3 linked regions of the Arabidopsis thaliana genome follow. The protein of the gene in region 1 interacts with the protein of each later gene in a pairwise test. Each region holds a gene or a part of one and is shown in the gene's direction. Other genes may lie near its edges. The genes, in order: RTL2, DRB5 and AT2G24030.

The links.
Region 2: the proteins of RTL2 (region 1) and DRB5 interact in a two-hybrid assay, tested with the Arabidopsis thaliana proteins (one large-scale study listed by BioGRID).
Region 3: the proteins of RTL2 (region 1) and AT2G24030 interact in a two-hybrid assay, tested with the Arabidopsis thaliana proteins (one large-scale study listed by BioGRID).

What each region holds. Positions count from the first base shown.
Region 1 is NC_003074.8:7,115,669-7,123,368, reverse strand, and holds RTL2 (RNAse THREE-like protein 2), read left to right. Parts: upstream 1-2,345; 5' UTR 2,346-2,473; coding exon 2,474-2,950; intron 2,951-3,073; coding exon 3,074-3,229; intron 3,230-3,321; coding exon 3,322-3,686; intron 3,687-3,820; coding exon 3,821-3,998; 3' UTR 3,999-4,178; downstream 4,179-7,700. Other genes in the region: AT3G20430 (phosphorylated adapter RNA export-like protein), read right to left, coding at 295-564, 719-862, 1,395-1,500, 1,612-1,889; CPK9 (calmodulin-domain protein kinase 9), read right to left, coding at 4,545-4,625, 4,721-4,820, 4,918-5,045, 5,124-5,291, 5,377-5,492, 5,604-5,756, 5,848-5,991, 6,246-6,981. UniProt on the Arabidopsis thaliana protein: Ribonuclease that cleaves double-stranded RNA (dsRNA). Required for 3'-external transcribed spacer (ETS) cleavage of the pre-rRNA precursors.
Region 2 is NC_003076.8:16,434,611-16,442,407, forward strand, and holds DRB5 (dsRNA-binding protein 5), read left to right. Parts: upstream 1-3,654; 5' UTR 3,655-3,836; intron 3,837-3,928; 5' UTR 3,929-3,936; coding exon 3,937-4,182; intron 4,183-4,276; coding exon 4,277-4,496; intron 4,497-4,590; coding exon 4,591-5,306; 3' UTR 5,307-5,445; downstream 5,446-7,797. Other genes in the region: AT5G41060 (DHHC-type zinc finger family protein), read left to right, coding at 992-1,075, 1,533-1,715, 1,793-2,083, 2,171-2,404, 2,490-2,930; AT5G41071 (uncharacterized protein), read left to right, coding at 5,459-5,641; GDPD2 (PLC-like phosphodiesterases superfamily protein), read left to right, coding at 7,248-7,317, 7,401-7,585. UniProt on the Arabidopsis thaliana protein: Binds double-stranded RNA. May be involved in RNA-mediated silencing.
Region 3 is NC_003071.7:10,217,280-10,225,201, reverse strand, and holds AT2G24030 (zinc ion binding / nucleic acid binding protein), read left to right. Parts: upstream 1-3,137; 5' UTR 3,138-3,191; coding exon 3,192-3,306; exon of another isoform or gene 3,307-3,568; coding exon 3,569-3,984; intron 3,985-4,073; coding exon 4,074-4,208; intron 4,209-4,317; coding exon 4,318-5,019; 3' UTR 5,020-5,141; downstream 5,142-7,922. Other genes in the region: AT2G24040 (Low temperature and salt responsive protein family), read right to left, coding at 671-808, 1,085-1,174; AT2G24020 (Putative BCR, YbaB family COG0718), read left to right, coding at 5,933-5,993, 6,217-6,359, 6,497-6,597, 6,689-6,728, 6,951-7,022, 7,110-7,166, 7,259-7,333; scpl23 (serine carboxypeptidase-like 23), read right to left, coding at 7,660-7,806, 7,879-7,922.

The sequences.
Region 1 (7,700 bases):
AATGTTTTGTATCAAATCAGCTGCATCATGTAACGAGAAGTTAACACATGAACCTCTTAATGGTGTAGGCCGACTGATGTTATGTAGTAAATTTCTAGGAGGTGCTCAAGTTTGTGTATTTAAGAAATCTTTGGTAGTTGGTATATATAGTTTTGTTAATGCATTTCTCGACAAAATCAATGCTTTCCATTTCTCGACAAAACAATTGCTTTCCACAAGAGAAGTCATCCAGTAGCTTAGATATATTGTTTACCTAGTTAAAAAAAGTCCAAGGTAAACGGTGTATAAATGAGCTTAAGCAGAAGGATGATGTGCTAGTGAATCATCCAAAGGTGCATCTCTGAAAAGGTCATCATATGAAACAGGTACCCTGATCCTCTCATGAACAGATTTCCTTTCCTTTTCCGGTTTGGATTCAGTTTGCTCAGCTACCGGCATAACACACATCTCGCTCACCAGAGCTTCATCAGCAGATACATTTCCAGAGGCAAGTCCTTCGGAGGAGCTACCCTGATCTCTTTTAGGCCCTGATTTTGGTCTCGTGTTTGGTTGCCTAAATTGTTTCTGCAAAGTTTGAAAGCGTAAGACAAAGAGCAAGAGAGAAAGAGGTGTAAGATAGAAAACAGTGATATAACATCTTCATGACTGCTATTTCACATTTAAGCTAAGAAAGCAGGATATATTTACGAATGTTGTGATATGATAGGCAAGTACAAACCTCAAACTCCTTGGTCTTTTTCATTATCTCTCTATAAGCTTCAGGCTGTCTCGCTTTGATGATGTTCCACAATACACCACCACTTGTCCGTTTCCTAGTGCCATCAGCAGTCACCTGACCTCCACAGGTCTCAATTGCTACCACCTAAGAAAAAATATTTCTTGCCATCATCAATCATATCTTTGGCAAGAATCTTGCGAAGTGGAATAGAAATATTCTTAACCAACTTAAAAGCATACAGTGGGAGTAACAGAAGGATCAATCCACAAAGCAGTAGTGAATATGTGGACAGTCATTTCTCGATCATGAAAATAAGGTTGACACTGTTGGTCTCACTCAAACCACTTATGGTCTCGATCATGAAAATATGGTTGACACTGTTGATCATAAAAACTTCATCTATCCACTTATGGTTTCATACAAATTGTCTAGATCAATAAAAACAGAGAAAAGACAGATGTGCACAAGAGAAGGGAAAAAAAAATCAACCTAAAATATGAAGTTTTACCATCTACATCTCAGCAAAAGGCACAAGCAGCAAAAAAGGCTCCACTAGGAATATCTTGAACTGCAGGTGAAACAATACAGCTAAACAAGATTGCCACTGCTGGTCACACACAGATCAAACAAGGTTTTAACTGGAATAACACAGAAAACATCTTGAAGTAGTGTATACCTCATTGACAAGATCACTTAAGGCAGCAATTCCGAGACACCCAACAGCTGTGTATATCATGTAAGACTTCTTCTCCTTAAGGCGTCTACAAGTATCCCTAACAAACCTGCCATAACAAAACATCAAACAATGAGCAACGTTTCAACCATAGCCAAGATCAGGCAGCTATACCAAGAATTTACACAACAATATTAGCATATAGAAAAAGAACACTTACCAGTCTACACTCATGGGTTTGTCCATCACAGGGCCTTTTCTCTTTTTCTTCTTCTTCTTCCTCTTGTTCTTGTTTGTCTGTTGCAGTCCATTCTTCTCACCCAAAATCGCCTCTTTATCTTTGACTCCATCACCATCATCATTTTGCCTCTCTCCAGAATCTAAATCATGATCCACAACAATCTCCCCTTCTTCAACATCAACCATTTCAACATCCTCCAAGTTTTCAAATCCGTCTTCTTCATTTATAGCATCCAACAAACTCTCTTCTCCCTCCATGAGATCAAAAACCTAAAATCCCAACCAAAAACCAAACACAACTTCAAAATGTAACACATAACAAAACAACACTCGCACAAAAATCCCAATCCATTCAAACAAAAACTTCGAAACCATTTACATTTACAACGATAATCTCACAAGAACATCCAATAACACGATTTCAAAAACATGAATCTCTCAAAAAATTGCTCAATACAAAGTAGATCAATTAGAATCGCGAAATAAACAAAATAAGAAGCTAACCTTGGGACTTCCTTTGCTCTTCGATCACCCACACTCGAGATTATCAACAAAACACACACTTCATCGTCATCGACCCAATACTGAGCAAGAAAAATCTCAGCTTTAGGGTTTAGGCAATTTTTGCCCTTTAAGAAAAAAGCTTAATCCATTTCCTTTATATAAAAGTTTTTAATTATATTTTGCCCCAATATAATAAATTATATATATATACTTTCCTTATTTGTCCTGAGGACTATAGTCAATGAAAAAGTCAAAACTAATAGAATTAGGAAAACAAAAAGAATTAAAAGGAAAATTGAAACAGAGAAGACTTGGCGTCTCTTTAGATTCTCTCTACCATGGATCACTCTATCTCACCGGAGTACAATTTCCCGGCCATCACTCGCTGTAGTTTATCCAATTCACTTCCTCACCGTCCACCATCACCACTGCCGTCTTCGGCCGATATCCACCGCTTCTACAATTCTCTTTCCCCATCAGCACCAAGCGTTCCGGTTTCGTCGGAGATGGAGTCTATGGAAGCAGTAGAGAAGATACTCAACTACAAATTCAGTAACAAGAGTCTTCTCAAGGAAGCGATTACACACACCTCGTGTACAGACTTTCCTTCTTACGAGCGGCTAGAGTTCATAGGCGATAGTGCTATTGGTTTAGCAATCTCAAATTACCTATACCTAACGTACCCTAGCCTTGAGCCACACGACTTGTCTCTGTTGAGAGCAGCTAATGTTAGTACTGAGAAACTCGCTCGTGTCTCTCTTAATCATGGTCTCTATTCATTTCTTCGACGCAATGCTCCTTCTTTAGATGAAAAGGTAATCCATAAAACTTGTCTTTGCATTGAAGAACCCTGGAAACAGAGTGATTCTTTATGTGAAACAGAGTGATTCTTGTGATATCTTCACCACCAAGTTGTGTGTGTTGATGTCGTTTGATAGGTTAAAGAGTTCTCAGAGGCGGTGGGGAAAGAAGATGATTTGTCAGTGTCATATGGTGGATTAGTCAAAGCCCCTAAAGTTCTAGCTGATCTTTTTGAGTCTTTAGCTGGAGCTGTGTATGTTGATGTCAACTTTGATCTACAAAGACTATGGGTGGTCTGTGTCTACTTCTTCTTTAGATCTACTCTTGTGTGTTTTGTCTTTGTTACTGAAAGTTAAGGGCTTCTTTCTTATTGTCGATTTTGCAGATCTTTAGGGGTCTTTTGGAACCGATAGTTACATTGGACGATTTGCAGAAGCAACCTCAACCTGTGTCTATGCTTTTTAAATTATGTCATAAACATAAGAAGCGAATCGACATCAAGAATTGGAAAGATGGTAATGTCAGTATTGCTGTTATATATCTTGATGATGAGCTTTTGGCTTCAGGCCGAGCTGAGAATAAAGATATCGCAAGGCTGATCGCTGCTAAAGAAGCGTTACGGAAGTTGTCAGAAGTTTTTCCCGTTGAAATGGTTATTGATGAAGATAGTGTAGAGATTCAACTTACACATGCTAAAACGAAGTTGAACGAGATTTGCTTAAAGAAAAAGTGGCCTAAGCCTATCTACAGGTATATCCTACTCCTACATCTTGGAAGCATTCACATACTTGAGTAGTCTAAAGTCTTATAATCTCAAGAAGCAGAACACATTTGATAAGCCATTGTTTAAAAACATTTTGTTATTGTTTTTCACATTTTTTCAGCGTTGAGGAAGATAGAAGCTCGGTACAGGGAAAGAGATTTGTTTGCTCTGCTAAGATTAAGATAACAGAAGAAAAAACATTATATATGAAGGGAGATGAACAGTCCAAGATAAAGAAAGCAGAAAGCTCCTCGGCGTATCACATGATTAGAGCCTTGAGAAAATCTCATTATCTCTAATGGTCTTGTATCATTTGTAAAATTAAAAATTGTATTTACCCTTGAACCAAAAACACCCTCTAATGAATCACTTTCGAATTTTATGTTTTTCTTTGAACCTACTAGCCTGGGGTTAATTAGTCTCTTGTACCCCCACTACGGAGAATTTGTAGGCGAACCAAGCCATTTGCCAAAGATACTTGCGCCTCCGGAATATGTTAAAATATAGGAAAGCTCTGCTTTAGCAGTTGTTTCGTTGATTTGACATTTGATGGAATGGAGAATCACATTAAAAGTGGAGGAACTGAGGTAAAATGTTAACACAGTCAGGATCAAAATCTTAACGGTAAAAATGAAACCTCTCTTTCTCTCATATCACAACAGCCTGAGTACAGAACACAAAGGACAAAACAGAAGAAGTGAAGAACAAAATACAAAACACAAGCAATCAGAGTTTTGAGTATCTTCCTCTTTACGTGGTTTTTGTCTGAACAAACATTAATTCAGCTCCTGATTTTTCTGGATTAGATACAAACAAAAAGACTTTTAATCCAGCAACAATGTCCACTAGAACAGCCGAGGTTGTTGTTGTTGTGGATTTCCACTTCTCATCATTGCGCAGAACTCTTCATAGTTGATTCTACCATCCTGCAAGAGAGGCAAACCGTTATGGACAGAGTTCAGTTTCCTTATAAGAAGAAGAAGAAGAAGATAAAGAGAGGAGATGAATTATTTTAACTTACGTTATCGGAGTCGACATCTGACAAAACCTCTTTGATTGTTGCATCATCTCCCATTCCATATTCCTTCAATGCAGATTCCAGTTCGTCTATTGTAATGTATCTGTGTACACATTTTGATCCCAAGAAAAGGCTCACCATCTTGCTTATATATATACCGGTTAAGAATGAATAACATCGAGAAGAAACAGGTCACTTACCCGCTGCTGTCTTTGTCAAAATGCTGGAAAGCTTTGTAAAGATTCTCATTACTTTCAAGCCTGTGCCTATGCATTGTTGCTGTAATAAACTCTATGTAGTCGATGGACCCGTTCCCATCAACATCAGCCTAATCACAAACCCGAGAATCTGAGTTCTTAAAGTAAAGGAACGGAATGGGGGAAAATATAGTTTTTGACCAACTTACAGCATCCATGAGCTGTTTCACTTCTGCCTCTGTGAGTTTAGATCCCAATTTGGCTAATCCTTCTTTCAGTTCTTCATAAGTGATTGTGCCACTGTTGTCAGTGTCTATGTTAGCAAACATTGCCTTCAATCCTTGGATTTCTTCCGTGTCAATATTCTCCGCTATGACCTGTTAGAATCTCATCATGAGTATAACGAAAAAGAGGACCACAACCACAGAATCACATTGCATATGTGAAAAATCTTGACTTCACCTTTAAAGCAAGTTTCTTTAGCTTATTCATTGCTCTAAATTGTTTCATCCTTGAGAGAACAGCACTGTCAATTGGCTTGTCTGATGCTTCTCCACCTTCTCTAAGCCATGGATGCTCTGCACAAAACAGTAGAGCAAATCTCAGAATCAAGAAGGAACCGATAATGGAATCTTCCAGAACTTTGCATTGTGTTGTGGCTCCGTAAAATGTCTTCAAAAGGTACTTACGAAGAACATCAGCAGCAGAAATCCGCCTTTTTGGATCCGCAGTCAACATTCTACGTACCAAATCTTTGGCACTGCTGGAGATTGACGGCCATGGTTGGCTCTCAAAGTCGATATGGCCTTCCAATATAGCATCAAATATTCCTTTCTCAGTCTCTGCATATCCAATGTTCTGTTTTCAGCTTTTTATTCACAACATATAAATCTCAAAAGGGAAAGGAACAAAGAAGAGAGAATATCGCGTTACCAGCCCAAAACGGGGGCACACCGCTGAGTAGAATGTATAAGATGATTCCAGCACTCCAGATATCAACTTCTTTCCCATATCTGCGACGTAAGACTTCTGGAGCAACATAGTATGCACTCCCAACAATATCTCTATATACTTTTCCTGCAAAGACAAGAAGAAGAAACACCAAATGATGAAGAGTAAGAAACATCAAACTCTATCAGAGAACAAAAACAGCGGTCTCTAGCCTAGTCCGTATATCAAGAAAGGTCTGAACTTCTTCATGCAATTCACGGAACCAAGAGACACAAGATACCAATATAACCAGAACCTTGATACGTATCCTATCTATGTCCTAGAGACAACCAACTTCATCAAAATGTACTAAACCCTAAAGAAAAGTCTGATTATTTTACCCTCTTCAATAAAGACAGACAATCCGAAATCAGTAGCCTTGATCAAAGCCTTCTCATCTTTGCTAGAGAGCAAGAAATTCTCAGGCTTCAAGTCTCTATGCAACACACCCATGAAATGACAAATCTTGACAACATTCACAATCTGTCTACAAACAGAAGCAGCAGCTCTCTCAGTGTAATGTCCCTTAGCAATGATTCTATCAAACAATTCACCACCAGCACAAAGCTCCATCACCAAATTCACAGCTTTCTCATCCTCATAAGCTCCTTTAAACTCCACAATATTAGGCTGCCCACTCAAATGCTGCATTATCTGAATCTCTCTCCTCATATCATCCTTATCAGCTTTAGTCACCAGCTTCTTCTTCGAGATCGATTTGCAAGCGTACTTCTTCCCCGTGGAATTCTCTGTGCACAGATACGTTACCCCAAATTGACCACGACCTAGCTCTTTACCCAATGTGTAAAAGAGCTTCACGTCTTCGAAAGCGTTCTCTAGTATTGAATTGCTCTTAGTGGTGGTCTTGGGACTTAGTCCTGGTGCTGCAGCCGCCGCCCTCCACGGTGGTGGTTGACTATTCACGGAACCTGGTTTCTCCGGCTGCTGAGTGGTTCTCGCTTGTGGAGTATACGACGGTGGATCTTGGTTGGTTACTCCTACTTCAACTGATCTAGTGGTATTACCATTTTGCTGTGGCTTCATCAATCCATGGTTCTTGGCAAAACAATTTCCCATGATTTTAAAAAGCTCAAATTCCGACGACCCAGAGAGGAAAGATCGGAACTTTAGCTAAGCTAGCTCAAATTCCGATGACCCGGAGAGAAAGATCGTAACTTTTTTTTGTTGAAGATGATCAAAAGAAGAAACAAGAGAGAAAATTGAAAGTCAGGATCTTTTTTTAAAATTGTTGAGGGATTATAATAATATAAAGACGTGGAAGCATCACCTCATTAGATAATATACCTTAATTGCATCAAGCTAAATAATGTTAGCCAGATGGATTTGATTAAGAAAGGAAACAAATGATTATATAAAATCAAAGAGTTGAAAAATTGCAGAAATGTAACATGAGAAGCATGAAATGATGAATAATTATAAGAGGACGGCTCTATCTAGGTAAAATGTTGAAAAGTACGACTAATATCAAAAGGAAACCGAGTCAAACTCATACTTCCATTGAATTATTCCTGGTCAGATAAGAACGATGAGAATGATTTGTTTTATCTGAAAAAATATATGTAACATGTTGAGGTTTGAGTAGCTGACAAGAACAAGAAAATTGATGTTTTGATTTGGGACTTTTGCTTATAGTAATGGACTCGAAGTTGAAGGTAGTTTGAAGCAGTGTTTTGTTTTGTGTAGTGTGTGTGACATCATTGACTTGTCGTCGACATATTTACACACAAGCTACACGACAGTTAACAAAAACTATTTCAAAAATGCATAAGCTGTTA
Region 2 (7,797 bases), on another chromosome or scaffold:
TTTCCCGGTTTACTCTCGGTTGTGGCTGAATTCTGGAAAGAGAATTTCAGGTTAACTAACTATACAAAGATAAGCTCACATTATAGACTTTTGTTCGTCACATTATAGAACAGCATAAGACTTTATTGCATAACAATTTCAGGTTTAAGTGTACTAGAGAAGATAAGCTTACATTACAAGTTCATCAGTTGGAAACAATATATGGGCTTGAGCTTTAAAGAAGGCCCATTAAGCTTGAAATTGTTCTTCATGTAAGATTGCTGCAGATTTTACTTTAATTTTTTTTTTCTTTTTTTCTTTTGCCCTTAAATTCTTGTAATGCTTCTAGGTGACTCCATCCACTTTATGTGTTGTTTCCCAATCATTTCTATTTTCAACTTTATTTTTTCCTTTCACAAATTATTTTAAGTTTTAACATTATTTTCTTCAACATACGAAATTTATACAGTAGTTTTTTTTTGCAGGTACATATAAATCAATAGTTGAGAAAAAGTGGAAAACAATAGAGATAAAAAAAATTAGATGTAAATTCGCTGTAAAACAAAATGTTTAAATTTCTTTTCCGTTATCGAATCTCTTTTATGAATAACAAGGTCGAGTACTCAAGGTAAGGAAACAGACCATTAGAAAAGTGCCACGTCAGCTTATTTCGTTCTTCACTTTTAGCTTCTGAAAAGTACTTTACCTGAACTAAAACGACGGTGACAGACTGACTCCAGTAGCTGCTAACAGTCGATTTTTAAAATATTATATTTATTTGCAGGAAAAAAAAAAAGTGAAGGAAGAAGAAGAAGTTGGAGAAGCCAAGAGCAAATCTAATTCTCTGACTACTCTCATTTTCATGTCGGAGACTTGCCGAAATCTAAAGAATTTCTTCAACGGAGACTGAAAAGCTTTCTCTTTTCTTCTTTCGTTATCTTCGTTTTAGTGTTTTCCCCTTTGCTTACATTTGAAGAAATCGAGAGCAAGCGATAGAAAGTGAGAGAGAGAGATGTATGTGGTGACGCCTCCTCAAAGATCCGGTTTTGGATCCGATTGTGATTTACGGGTTTACCAAACATGGAAAGGAAGCAATGTGAGTTTTAATGTGAAAGCTTTAGGTTTTGGAATTACTTGCTTCTGTGTTTATACTTGAGCTAGTTTTCTGTTATTTTTCCTATTATTGTGTATAAATTAATTATTAATCCGTTCATGGGCTCAGTTTACTCTGTTTCCAATCTTGTAAAGCTTAAAAATTGGGACTTGGGTTTGTGTTAGAAGTGTAGCTTTCTGGGTAGTTGTCTACATTTAATCATGAAATCTTTACCTTTAATCAATACCTTAGGACATTATCTGAATATGCTTGCTACATTTATAGGAATGCTTCTTCATACAAAGGTTATATAGTTGATGCTGTCTGTATATTGCTTTCAATGTCGAATTTAAATCTGGTTTAGTAGTAACCTAGTGGAATTAAACATTTTGAGGTTTGTTCCTTAAATCCTTCTACCCAAAGTGTTAACATATTTTCTAAATTTGTCCCATTTCTGCAGATATTTTGTCTTCAAGGAAGGTTTATCTTCGGGCCGGATGTAAGATCACTTGGTCTGACCATAAGTCTTATTGTGGCACCTGTTACAATTTTCTGCATCTTCGTCGCTAGCAAACTAATGGATGACTTCTCTGATAGTTGGGGAGTCTCAATAATCCTTGTTGCTGTTGTCTTCACCATTTATGTGAGTACAAAAGTTTAGCTTTGCATTGTAAAACGTTTTGTGACTGGATCATTCATAACAATTAATGCTTCCCTCAGGATTTGATTTTGCTGATGCTTACATCCGGAAGAGATCCAGGGATTATCCCAAGAAATTCTCATCCTCCAGAACCAGAAGTTGTTGATGGCAACACGGGCTCGGGAACAAGCCAAACTCCAAGATTGCCTCGTGTTAAAGAAGTGGAAGTTAATGGAAAAGTATTCAAGGTCAAGTACTGTGATACTTGCATGCTCTATAGACCGCCTCGCTGCTCACATTGTTCGATTTGCAACAACTGTGTAGAAAGGTTTGACCATCACTGTCCTTGGGTTGGTCAATGTATTGCTCAAGTAAGTTTCTCGGTTTTTCGTTTTCCTGTCCGTTAGTTTCTGACATCAGTCTATATAATTCATCTCATTCTCCTTGGGAATTTGCAGAGAAACTATCGATTCTTCTTCATGTTTGTCTTCTCCACGACTCTTCTCTGTGTATATGTGTTCGCCTTTTGTTGTGTCTACATAAAGAAGATCAAAGAGTCCGAAGATATAAGTATCTTGAAAGCAATGCTCAAAACTCCAGCTTCCATTGCTCTGATACTCTACACATTCATATCTACATTCTTCGTTGGAGGCTTAACATGTTTCCATCTCTATCTCATCAGCACAAATCAGGTACCCTAATCATTTGCCTCTTTCTGAAAAAACCTCTCTCATTCGATATGCGTGTTTAATCGTTTGATCTTTCTTTATTCTGTAGACTACATATGAGAATTTCAGATACAGTTATGATCGGCATAGCAACCCACATAACAAAGGAGTGGTTGATAACTTCAAAGAAATCTTTTTTTCTCCAATACCTCCTTCAAAGAACAACTTCAGGGCTATGGTACCAAGGGAAAATCCAATGCCGTCGAGATCAGTTGTTGGCGGTTTTATGAGTCCAAACATGGGAAAGGCCAATGATGATATTGAAATGGGGAGGAAGGGTGTTTGGGCAATGGCTGAACATGGTGATGGCAAAGATGGCAATAACAATGAACGGTTTCATGTTAACGACAATGAGTTAAACGAGTTATCACCAGACATGGGGAACATAGTGAATGGTGATGAGCAAATCAATAGGCCAAACAATCACCCGAGGAACGCAAACTGGGAAATGTCACCAGAAGTTATGGCCTTATCAGCAAGAAGAGCTTAGAAGCAGGTTAAGAGAAAATTGAAAGGTGTTTTAAATGTTTGATGTATTGATGTGTTGTGTGTTTACACGGGAATCAATTGTGAATTGGTGTGATATTTTCAGATGTTATGAGTATTTTTAGTTGTTCTTCAGACATTTAAATCGTAAATCATTGTGTGTTAGTGTAATCTATGACTTATCTTTCACAGAATGAGAAAACAAAATGAATACCGACGATTTTCATACTGTACTTTGCATATGATAAAAATTGCAGAAACTGAATTTTCAGACAAGTGGACCAGAAGACCAGACAACTCTTATTATAGTCTTCATTGAAGCACGGCTCTGTAATAAATGCAAAAGAGCTCTAAAGGCTTCTTATTTGTTCTTCAAAGCTCTAAAGTCTAAAGGTTAGAGATTTAACATCACAAGCCAACATTTTTGGTTTAGGAAATTGAAGATTAGCAATAATATAAAGTTTTTTTGGCATTGAACAAAGACAAAACACAATGAACATAATCAACAAATTGGTCAAACTAAACATTAATAAGTGCCTCAAAGTATCAGACTAAATCATTTTCACTAACATTTATGAAAAAATAACTGTTATTAACTGAGGACGAAGGTAACTGACCAGTCAAACATCATAGACAAAGACAATAAAGAGAGTCAATAGCATTGTTCATAATTGTTATTTGTATGCACATGTTATAAATTATATAAAAAGACTAACCTTATTTCAATTGAGATGTCACTATTACTGTTTTAGCATCCTCTTCTACTCTTTATTTAGAACCTTTAGTACCTTACCATGTGAGTGAAGAGTTCAAAAACCTCTGCAAAAACTTTCTTTTTTATCTCTCTCTCTTCTTTAAACTTACTTTCAAACACTAAATAGCCAAAACTTAAGATACCAAATTTCAACAGGTCGGCTTTTTCGTTTGTCTTCTCTTAAGACTTTACCAAAAGAGATTTGTGGTTTCTGGAGTTGACTTTGGTTGATTTTGGTGTATTTACAGGGGAAAAAATGTATAAGAATCAGCTTCAAGAGCTTGCACAGAGAAGTTGTTTCAACTTACCATCATATACTTGCATAAGAGAAGGACCAGATCATGCTCCAAGATTCAAAGCTTCTGTTAACTTCAATGGTGAGATATTTGAGAGTCCCACTTACTGTTCTACTCTCAGACAAGCTGAGCATGCAGCTGCTGAAGTTTCCCTTAATGTCCTTTCGTCTAGAGTCCCTTCAAAGTCTCTAACTGCTAAGATTCTTGTAAGTTCTCTGTCTTTTCTTCTTGGTTTTGATCATACACAAAAAAATGCAAAAAGAGTAACATCGTATATCTTCATGTCACTCTTTATACAAGGATGAGACAGGGATTTACAAGAACCTGCTTCAAGAGACAGCACATAGAGCTGGTCTTGATCTACCAATGTACACAAGTGTGAGATCAGGATCTTGTCACTTCCCAGGTTTCTCTTGTACTGTTGAACTTGCTGGGATGACGTTTACAGGAGAATCAGCAAAGACAAAGAAACAAGCTGAGAAAAACGCAGCCATTGCAGCTTGGTCCTCTTTGAAGAAAAGTATATATAACTATCTTCCAAATTGTTCCATCAACCCCAAAAAAGCTTCTCACTTTTCTACTTGAAACCATTTTTCTGTTTCTCTACTGTGCAGTGTCAAGCTTGGATTCACAAGATGAAGAGAAGGAACAAGAAGCAGTAGCAAGAGTACTCTCAAGATTTAAACCCAAAGAAGTAAGAAGACGAGAGACAACAAACCAATGGAGAAGAAGAACAAGTCAACAAGATTCAAACAAGGATTTGTTGATTGAGAGATTGAGATGGATCAATCTTTTGACCAATCAAGCTTCTTCATCATCATCAACATCAACACCGAATCAACACAAAAACTCCAGTTTCATCTCTCTAATTCCCCCACCACCACCACCTAAATCCTCCAAAATTTTGCCATTTATCCAGCAATACAAAGACAGATCATCACAAGAAGCTAAGACAGAGACAGCGACAGAGATGATCAACAGCAAAGCCAAAGTCAATGAAACATCAACCAGATTGAGTAAGCAAATGCCCTTTTCCGACATGAACAGATACAACTTTGTCGGAGGGTGTAGCGTAAACCCTTATAGTCTGGCTCCAGCGGTTCAAATGAGATCAGTGATTCCAGTTTTCGCAGCTCCACCACCGAAACCAAACCCCAACCTTAACCCATCATCATTATCATCATCAGTCAATGAATTCACCTCATCCAATAATTCCTGCTCTGTTCTGAATACGCCGGGATTGGGAGGCCAAGAGAAGAAGAATCTAACTCGCGAAATGATCAAACTTGGTTCAGAATCGAGAATTTTGGATCAAACCCATGATAGTTAGCTAAATTTGGTTAATGGGTTAATCTCAAATTAAATCCTTGTCAAGTGTTTGTCACATAGATAAATTATAGACCAGTATGTTTCCGTTTCTTGAATGTGTTCTTGTTTTTTTTGAAGTGTTTGAATTTTCTAAAAGTCCGACATGAACTTTGAATGCTTGCGAATTGCACAGAGAACGAAAACAAAGAGAGAGCATTAATTAGGGAAGAAGATGAAGAAGAGAAATGGGAGTTTGCAAGAAAACAATTAATGGGTTTTGTTTTGTCTTCCTCCATTAATGCGCCGAATGCTCTGCTCTGCTTCCCACTCTTCATCATTAATGGTTTTGCTCTGTAACGTCGGTTCCAACAAATAAACTTAATAATTCGAAATTATAAATTTCACAAGTTACATTTTTCTTTGTGTAAAGATTTTGGACCATATAAACATTATGGTTTGCGAGAATGACGTTTGTGTCATTATCCGATTTAGATCCGTATAATCTATGTTGTTAGGAACTCAGGATTTTGCTCAAATATTCAAATTGGTATATTTTGACTTTGATGAAATTATTTTGGTCAGACCACGAGACTTGATTGCTTCTCAATTATTTGGGCCGGTCCATTAATTTGGGGCCATCTAACTTTTACGTGGGCCGTAACAAACCGAAACATAAAACTAGTGACCTACCTAACCATATTACCCCAACCGGACAGGAGGTAACGAGTTAACCAGCCACTTGTTCGGCTTGGAAATTTTTTTAATCGTCTGACAATTTATGACGTGGATCCAAGTAGCAAGAAAGCTAACATGTTGTTGGATCTGATCTGATCCACGAACCTACCATAAATCAATTTTCTCATTATCTTGACAGGTATATCTTGCATTATTATACGTCAGATTTTCGTGGATACAATATTTTTAAAATGCAATCCATATTTACTTGATTTCCAAAAATGGGTTTTTTCAAAAGCACAATTTCCAAAAATGGATCACAATTTATTAACGGATTCTCAACTTGCAAATCAAGCTTAAATTATAATCTTTTTTAACTCAGAATTTAATATAATCTTTTTTTACTCAGAATTGATTAAACTAACAGTTATATTGATCTTGAAATCACCTTTAATATCTTGTTTTAAATCTTGTGTCTTGCAAATCACGGTTCATAAATATTGGAGAATCGAATAAATAAATTATTTCTATTCCTATATTGCGTAATTTTATTTTTTGACTCTCTATTGCGTAATTACACTCGTCAGATTTCGTGGATGAGTACTCAGTAAATCTTATTTTAATTAAAAAGCTTACTAGTCTAATTGCTGCAAATTTGACCAACTATACAGTTGTGTTGCATTACAATATTTCAAACCATTAATAAAACGTGTAAAACATATTTGGAGTTGAATGAAACTACATTTTCCTTTATGTCAAACGCACTTTTCAAGATATATCTCGAACAATTTACGTATTATTTTCACAAATTTTGTTCCACAATAATTTAGGTTATTTTGGTTTTTGTTGTTGTTTTTTGAGTCTGAAATTTCAAATTTGTATTTTTTTTTAATATATATTTAGGCAGGAATCTTTAAAATGAAACCAATAATATATTCACTAAGTTTGGAAAAAAACCAAAATTTCATAATTAACGGGACAATGACTAAGCTGTGGAAAAGATAACATAATCTCCCAATGACTCAATGCCACGTATAAGATGAGAACCGTACTCTTCTGTGTTCGTACCAGATCCCTCAAAAGGCGGGAAGAAACCATCAAGAAAGGCACATTGCTGACGTGGAATGGAATATTCGAACACGCATATCCAGCTCCTTCCTCCTTTTTCCTCATATCCCTTTTTTCTCAATATAAATACTCTGCAAAAAAACACCCACAAATCCTCACACAAAAACGTTTTCGAAATCCCTAATCTACTCTCTCTTCTCTATATCTCTACTCTTGAGAAATGGCTCTTAGAACTGTGCTCGTCTCCGACGTCCCTAGCCTCCCGGATTCTGTCTACGGTTTATCCGAAGGTATTTCTCTCTCTGTCTCTCTCTCTCTGTTTCGTCGGCTATTGAGCTGTTTTCGTTTCTGATGATCTTGTCTTTGATTACAGGTTTAGAGTTGAGCAAACCGACGTCGTTTAGGTTACCGGGGTTTTCGGTGATTGGACATAGAGGAATCGGTATGAATGTGTTGCAATCGTCTGATCGGAGAGCGAGAGGTGTTAAAGAAAACTCGATTCTTTCATTCAATTCCGCCGCTAAGTATCCGATTGATTTCATTGAGTTCGATGTTCAGGTTGGTACTCCGATCTATGTAATCAACTTTAGGATTTGAATGAGACAGAGGATTGGGGTTTTATGTTTATGTTTTTGTGTGTGGAAGAAGATTCTGATTTAGATATCTATTTATAGATTCTTAGAAATTGAAATGAAAAATAAGAACATGAAGATTTGAAGAAAGAGAGAGAGATGGCACATAGAGAAGCATTCCAAGCTTTGTGTGGTTTT
Region 3 (7,922 bases), on another chromosome or scaffold:
ACTCAGGGTAATGGTAAGTATGGTACTACCATTATATAAATATAGTATGTATTAGGACTAGGGTAACATATAACAATGAAGATTTGATTGTATTCCTCACTGTTGGAATTCTCTTCAATATCGAATGGACTAGGGTAAATATAGTAATCACTGTCACTATCTTCATCAAAAGACTCCACAACTTCTTCTTTCTTCTTTCCTGGAAACAACTTAGCAAAGCAAAACAGGAAAGAAGAGAAAAGAAGTGTGAAGTCTTCAAGTGATGCAATAGCTAACAATGGTTTTAAACTTTTCTTCCTGTTTTTGGTATTGTCGTCTTAGTCATCTTGAATTCAGAATCACTGTCAGTCTCTGTTTCTTCACCAAGTGTCTTTGTCTTCTTCACTGTTCAGAGAAAAAACAGTGTTTTCTTTTTCCTCTTCCACTTCAGTGACTGCTGAGCTAATTTCTTTAGCTGTATCATAGCGCGATAGATACTGACCTTTAATATGAGGGCTCCATAGGCAAATAGTAATTGGGCATTATGCATTCATCATTCATCAAAGTATATAGTAAAATAAACCACAATACCTGTGTCTTAAAAAAAAATGGTATTATTATCTCCAGGATACAAGTAAATTACACTTTAAAGTACAATATGTGTGCTCAAGAGCAAGAATCAATCAAGAGGTCAAGCAACATAGTAGATTGGGCGTCTGTATTCATCAAAATACTCATCGCGGTGCAAGAAACAAATTGCGTAAATTGCGTATATTATTCCTGGTAAGTAGCCTAAGCAAGTCAGTATCAAACAAATGAAGAACTCAACCTACAAGTTAAACCAAAAAAACATGAGTTAGGAAAAACAAAATTTAAAAATTTTATTTTTTAGTCCCTTAATTAGTGTTTCTTTTTAACAAAAACACCACAATTATATTTTCAGTAATTGATCTCCACATTCATCATATTGATTGGTTCCCGTAAACCGGAGTGCAACCAATTTCAATTTAAATAACCGTAATCAATTCAATTTCAACTACGGTTTCGATTTCTGAAATAAGAAGCTGTGAAAGTTCAGAGATCGATAGAGAGAGATGAAACTTACAGTGCAACAGCCATGCCTGAGACAAACTCCGACAGGAGGAAGAAGAATTGCGATGAAGATCTCGCAGCAAAGCTCGCAACTACTCGCCATTAATTTACGGAGATTAGATCAGATTTGATGACTTGAAAAAGAGAAGAAGAGAGAAGCTTCACGAAACAAACAACCACAAATATAGTAGGTGTTGTGTCCAGCGACGTGAATCTTAATAATTAAGATACAGAGTGTACCGCGAGATCTTTAACCGTTTATTTTGCGGGATTTATTATATCCTACGGTTCGTTGTTGATATCTTTTTGGGTATTGACGTATGACGTCTGTTTATTGGTTGACTCACGGGAGCTTTGGTATGGCTTCACTTACCATACTCTTTCATTATTTAATCTCATTCCAGCTGATAAATGATATTACTAGATGAGCTACATTGCATTATCTTGGATTATAATTGTGCCAAGAAAAATTTGAAATTTTTTTAGTTGTAAATACAGTTAAGATTATTAAGATATCATTAAATTTAACACATGCACAATTTAGTCATTTTGATATTAAATACATCGATGTGAATGTAAATTAACAAATACAAAAGAAAAACAAACAAAGTTACATCAAGATAGGGAATCCATATGAAGAACCAAATATATAAACAAACAACAGCCGGAAGCATCCTCTAGATTACAATATTTGGATGCATAATCGAGATGCACCATTCAAATAATAAAACGAATAACACCCTAGTTGTTCGAATATGAAAAGACATACTACACTTTTTAAAGAATATAGGACACTCCAATCATTATTAACTGAGTTTAAAATGAAAATATGTCATTGTTATGATGCGAGTTAAGCGGCTTGAACTAATCGCTAGAACTTATTATATATTTCTTCTGTTGCATGAAGTTTGATGTTGTAGGTTTTTTTTCACAAAAAATTGATGGTTTGTATAACATTATTATTACTTTTAGCTGTGATTAATAGAGAAAACAGAGAAATAGAATTAATATTATTAAACAAGACAAAATAATAATCAAAAAGTATAAAAAATACCTTTTTTAATTTGTGTAAAAAACCTACAATACCAAACTTATGAAACAGAGAGAATACTACTTTTTTCGGGACGCCAATGATTTTGCCGCTTAGCTTAATAGTAATCATATGTGAGAATTTTAATCGGTGATATATTGGTAGGCAGAAAATCATCTCCATAAATTAAAGATAATTGTTCAACCACCTAAAATACATTAACCTAAATTTTAAAAATCGTTTGAAATTCTCACTTCACAAGTCAAATCCCTAGTAAGTTAGTAATCTTATATAGACAAATCGAAAGTTGAACACGATTTTAAAATTTGGTTGAATGTTTCAAAGTATAGAATTTTTGTAAGATTTTGTTTTAAGAATCTGTTTGAATTTGAATAATGCGGGTCAAACCTCTACAAAGTTACAAAAAGATAAAGATTGAACAAAGTTTTTGAATTTGATTAAAGCCCTTGAAAGATTAAAAAAAATATTAGCATAATTACCATCTACAATACATTGACTAAAATTTAAAACTTGTTTTTGGTTCCACATAAACCAAATCCCTAGTAAATTAGTAACTTTACATAGAGAAATCCGCCAAAAATTGAACACGCATATAATGTAATAATTGTAATCTCTTAAAATATTAAAACTCCCTTTAACATAATTTTTTTAATCTAAAATACATTTATTTTAAATTTTTGTTTGAAACGCCACTACACAAATCAAATCCCTAATAAATTTGTAATTTTATATAGAAAAATCCGTCAAAGATTGATCACATAATGTAATTTAAAATTTTCAATAAAACAAGTTTTTAAGGAAAATAGAAATATATTTAAATCTTATCACAGGTCAAATCTCTAATAAATTAGTAACCAAATTTGCTAAGTATTGCATATGATTAAATTCCATATTGTTTTTAAAAAATCTCTTGATATTATCACAAGATTCACAACAGTGAAAGAAAAAAGGGAAAAAACAGAAAAAAAAAAGCTATCCCTGTTATTTAAGAAAAGTGACCGACCAGAAGGTAAAAGCGATTACAAACGATAACCCTCTTTCTCCGCTCTCTCTCCAAATTTTGAATTCGATGGAATTCAGATACAGAGCCATCGATAATAATCGCCCACCTCCTGCGACGGACACGACACCATCTCCGTCGCTGAAACCGAACTTTCCTTTCTTGTCGGAACGATCAATGCCAGGTTTGTACTGTCTGTGCATCGTATTTTTTATCCATCCCCGACAGAGAACATTGTTATGATTCTGCACTTTTCGTATTTTGTTTGGTGATGCGATTGTCTATAGGAGTTGATTTGTTGAGACCTGTTTAGTTTCTGTAACGTAAATTTTGAGTGTTTGTTTTTTCATGTTTTGATTTCACGAAATTGAAATCTGTGTGAAAAATCTGAAGTTTATGAATCTTCTCATGTCGAAATGTGAAGTGATTATGAACCTTTTTCGTAGGACAACAAAGTGAGGATCAAGTTCGGGAAGCGATCAAACGAGAAATTGAGAAAGAACAAATCCGTCAAGAGATCATTATCGCAGAAGCAGCGAGAAAACGAGAGCTTATAGCTGAGGTTTTACAAGAGATGGCTATCGAGAGAGAAATGGCGATACGACGAGTTTCAGACACGGAGATGTCTCTAGAGGAAAAGCTAACTATGTGGATCAATCAAAGGAAGCTTCCAAATCAAAATCAGAATCAGTTCAACAACTTTTTCAGACAGAAGTATAGTTACATTGATTCTCTGATCAACACAGGCTCTTACAACAGTCTACTTACATCACCAATGATGCAATTGCCTCAACTTCAGCAAATGTCTGAAGCTACCGGAACATCAATGTTGGAGTCTAATAAAGAGAATTTGATTGTATTGGTGAGTTCTTTAAGTAATGGTAAACATAAATGATAGAGTATATATAAGCCTTTGTTTCATATGTGTTCTCTTTGATTTCTCTATTGCAGAATAGAGCTGATATTATAGGAGCTAAGCCTAAAGCAGACAGTGTTGGTACCATGCAATTGCCTAAACTTCAGCAAATGCCTGAGGCTACAGGAACATCAGTTTTGGAGTCTAACAAAGAGCAGTTTATTGTATTGGTAAGTGTTTTACTACGAGTGTGATATCTCATCTTTTCTATCCACGTACTTTCCTTACTTGCTTATAACAAATCCTGACCATATGTGTTCTCTTTGATTACTATTGCAGGCTAGAGCTGATCCTGTAGGAGAAAAGCGTAAAGCAGAGGATATTCAAACTGGTTTGAACGAAGATCTTCAAGTGAAAAGGCCGAAAGCAAAAGAATCAGAAGCAAAGGCGATGTCTTTGGAAACCGGAGAAATAGTCTCTTCGAAGGTTCCTTGTTCAGGGAAACTTGGCAGTGGAAAGAAAGCAGAAGGTAAGCTAAGAACTAACCAGAAGTTTTGGTGTGAGATTTGTAAAGTTGGGACCTATTGTCAAATAGTCATGAGGGATCATGAGTTAGGTAAAAAGCATAAGGCTGCTGTTACACAACAGAATGAGACACCTGAAGCTGCTTCAACCTCCTTATCCCCTGCTTCCGTTACAGCACCGCAACCAGAAGCCATTAGAGTATGTGAAAATGCTAATCCGCAGGGTCAAAAAGTAGATGAAATTGCGGCGAAAGAAACAACGGGAAAGAAGACAAAAGGTGAGAAGAAAAAGAAGGAAACGGTTTGGTGCAAAACTTGTAATATTCAGACGAATTCTGAGCAGACGATGAGGAATCATACGCTTGGGAAAAAACACATGGCTTTGCTTGAGAAACAGCAGAATAAACTCATTACAGTCCCAGTGAGATCTCTGAATGCTGATCCAGGACAGAAAGAATCAGTATCTCTAGCAATGGATGATACACAAGGTAAGGTTCATTGCTTGGAGAAGTCATAGAAGATTCTTTGTAACTTTGTTAGATTATTTTATATCAACTTTTTTTACCAAAAAAACCTTTGTTAGGTCATGACAATATACCATGAGGAATCAGAGATTGAATTCATGAATTTATTTTTATTTTTTCTTATGCAATGTGACAGTAGGAGATTTGCATGATGTTTTTTTTGTTGTGAGATTGAGAATCATGAGAATAATAACCAATGCCATTAGAGAGACCAGAATAAGTGTATAGATCATGATTGCATTTTGGAGTGTGTGTTGTCTTATGCTTTTATCATATGTTTTACAAACTTACAACTGTACAAGCAGAGTATGTTTGTTTGGACATGATACGATGATAAATGTCTTCTTTCAGGAGAGGCCCAAAATGGTTTGCCTAGAGGTATTTCAAATGTTTGGGGTGAGTCTCTCTATACATAGAGGGTATATAGACAACTCCACAATCAATCAATAGTTCTTCTCGCAATACAGCTCCACAAGACCACAACACATATGACCATGTCCCATACATAGAACCACGAAAGATGGTTCTATTGTAGCATGTTTTTTTTTTTTTTTGGTTTAATGAAGCATGTTACAATCTCTGATAAAGTTTCATCTATACTAGAAATTGAATTTTTCGAAAATCGAATCAATATCTGATGTAAGAACATTTTACGTTTGATCACTCAATTTCGTACTGAAAGTGTATAAACTTTAAAGTTGCGACTTCTTCACTAGAAAAGAATGGTACAAAAACAATCTAAGCTCAAAAAAAGAGTTAAAGTGACGTGGCGCAAAATCATTGGTTAAAAGCTTCAACAAACACAGAAGCTACGAACAAGTTGCCCGGAAAAAATTAGCTTCCGGTTTTATCTTCTCGAATTTCAGAAAAAAAGCCCTTCTCTAATATCTCTCTACTCGTACAACAATGGCGTCGATGGCTGCAACCACCAATTTCACCAAATCTATGCTCTTTCCATTCTCTCATGGTTAGTCTCTCCTAAATCCCTACTTCTATCTCTCGCTTAAGGTTTCGTGACACTGGATTTTGAGTCTTTATGTATCTGTCGTACATTAGGTTTCATCTGAATTTGCTTAATCTTTCGTAATTAGACTTTTCTATTCCATAATTGGAGGAATTGAAGCGTAATTTTGTATTTATAAGTGTTTTTGGGATTGAAATGGGCTTTAGTAATTTTTTGGTTTGAATAGTTTCAGGAAATGCGAGCTTGAATTCGCAGAGAAGAACATGGCCAAAGCAGTACAAGTCTAAAAATGGTTACAGGTCTCTTCGAGTGAATGGATTATTTGGAGGTGGAAACAAAGATAATAACAGTGAAGATGGACAATCAAAGGTTGGTACATTACATTGGTTTTTTCAAATATCAAACAGATTCTGCAATAGGTGAACATTTTAAGTTAGGCTTCATGTTGTAAAGATTCAAAGTTTATGATTTTGGAACTAATGAAGTTTGTGTGTGATCTTTCCTAGGCAGGAATATTTGGTAATATGCAGAATATGTATGAGACTGTGAAGAAAGCTCAAATGGTTGTTCAAGTGGAAGCTGTACGTGTTCAAAAAGAGTTAGCTGCGTAAGTCCGGCACATTTATCATACAAAATTTGAGGAAGTTTTCTTCTATGAGTAATGAGTTTTGCATGTTGGTTTTGTTCCAATTTCGCAGCGCAGAATTTGATGGTTATTGTGCAGGCGAGCTTGTCAAGGTCAGTTTAGAGCTTGTTTTGGCCTTAAGATAGATCAATGCACATAATAGATCAGTGAAGTATTAACTAACGTTTACTTGATGATGTAAGAACTGTGTTTTCTGATTTGTTAGTCTTTGGATGATTTGGCAAGAACTCCACTCTAGAATCTCAAAACTTTGTTTAGTCTTTATTGTTTCTGTTACAAAGTCTGATGACCTAAACCTTATGAATTTGTGTCAGGTTACGTTATCAGGTAACCAGCAACCAATCCGTACTGATATTACCGAGGCAGCAATGGAACTAGGTTCCGAAGTGAGTAACCATACGTACCTTGTTATGGAACAGTCAAAGCTAATTCATCAGTTTCTCTTGTTGATGTTGTGTGTTTTCCTTTGGCAGAAACTATCACAACTTGTCACAGAAGCATACAAGGACGCACACGCCAAGAGTGTGGTGGTATAGCAATTTGCAGACCATTTATCACAATGCAACTAAAGTATTTGTTTCTATCCATTTCTTCTAATTGAACTTTGTGAATTTTTTCACAGGCTATGAAAGAGAGAATGAGTGACCTTGCGCAGAGCTTAGGAATGCCACCGGGTCTCAGCGAAGGAATGAAGTAAGAAGCTGTTTTTGTTGTTTCATTTCAACTTTCAGGTATGAGAGGTTCGGCTTTTTTTGTTTGTTTGTATATCAGTCAGGCAGAAGCAAAGAGCTTTGTACTCTACTCTTATGGAATTATATATAAAAGATTTGAAACTTTTGGTTTTCTGCAATTTTATTCCCAAGGTATCAACACAATTGTTCTAGTATCAACATATATCTTCTTCGAATACAAGAATGCTTTTAGTGTCTTATGAAATCAAGTTGATTTGAAACATAAAAATTTCAAAAGAAAACACCGAGTTAACTCGGGTTTTGGAGGGAGCCTTCTATCTTATGTGTGTGACTAATAAGATCTTGGAAGCTCTTTGCCGGCCAAGAACGATCTTAAAAGAGTGAGAGCACGCTCGGGTTGCAACACCGGCACTTCGTGGCCCGCCCCTCTTATCGTCGCAAAGGTAAGCCCCTCATATACCTCTGTCCATCCTCCCACCTGACACCACCACCATGAGAAATCACTAGCTCTGCATAATAAGAATAGAACCACGAATTTGATGAAAATTACCTGCTTTTCGGAGTACCAAGGGTACCAGGGAGTTTTCACCGGAA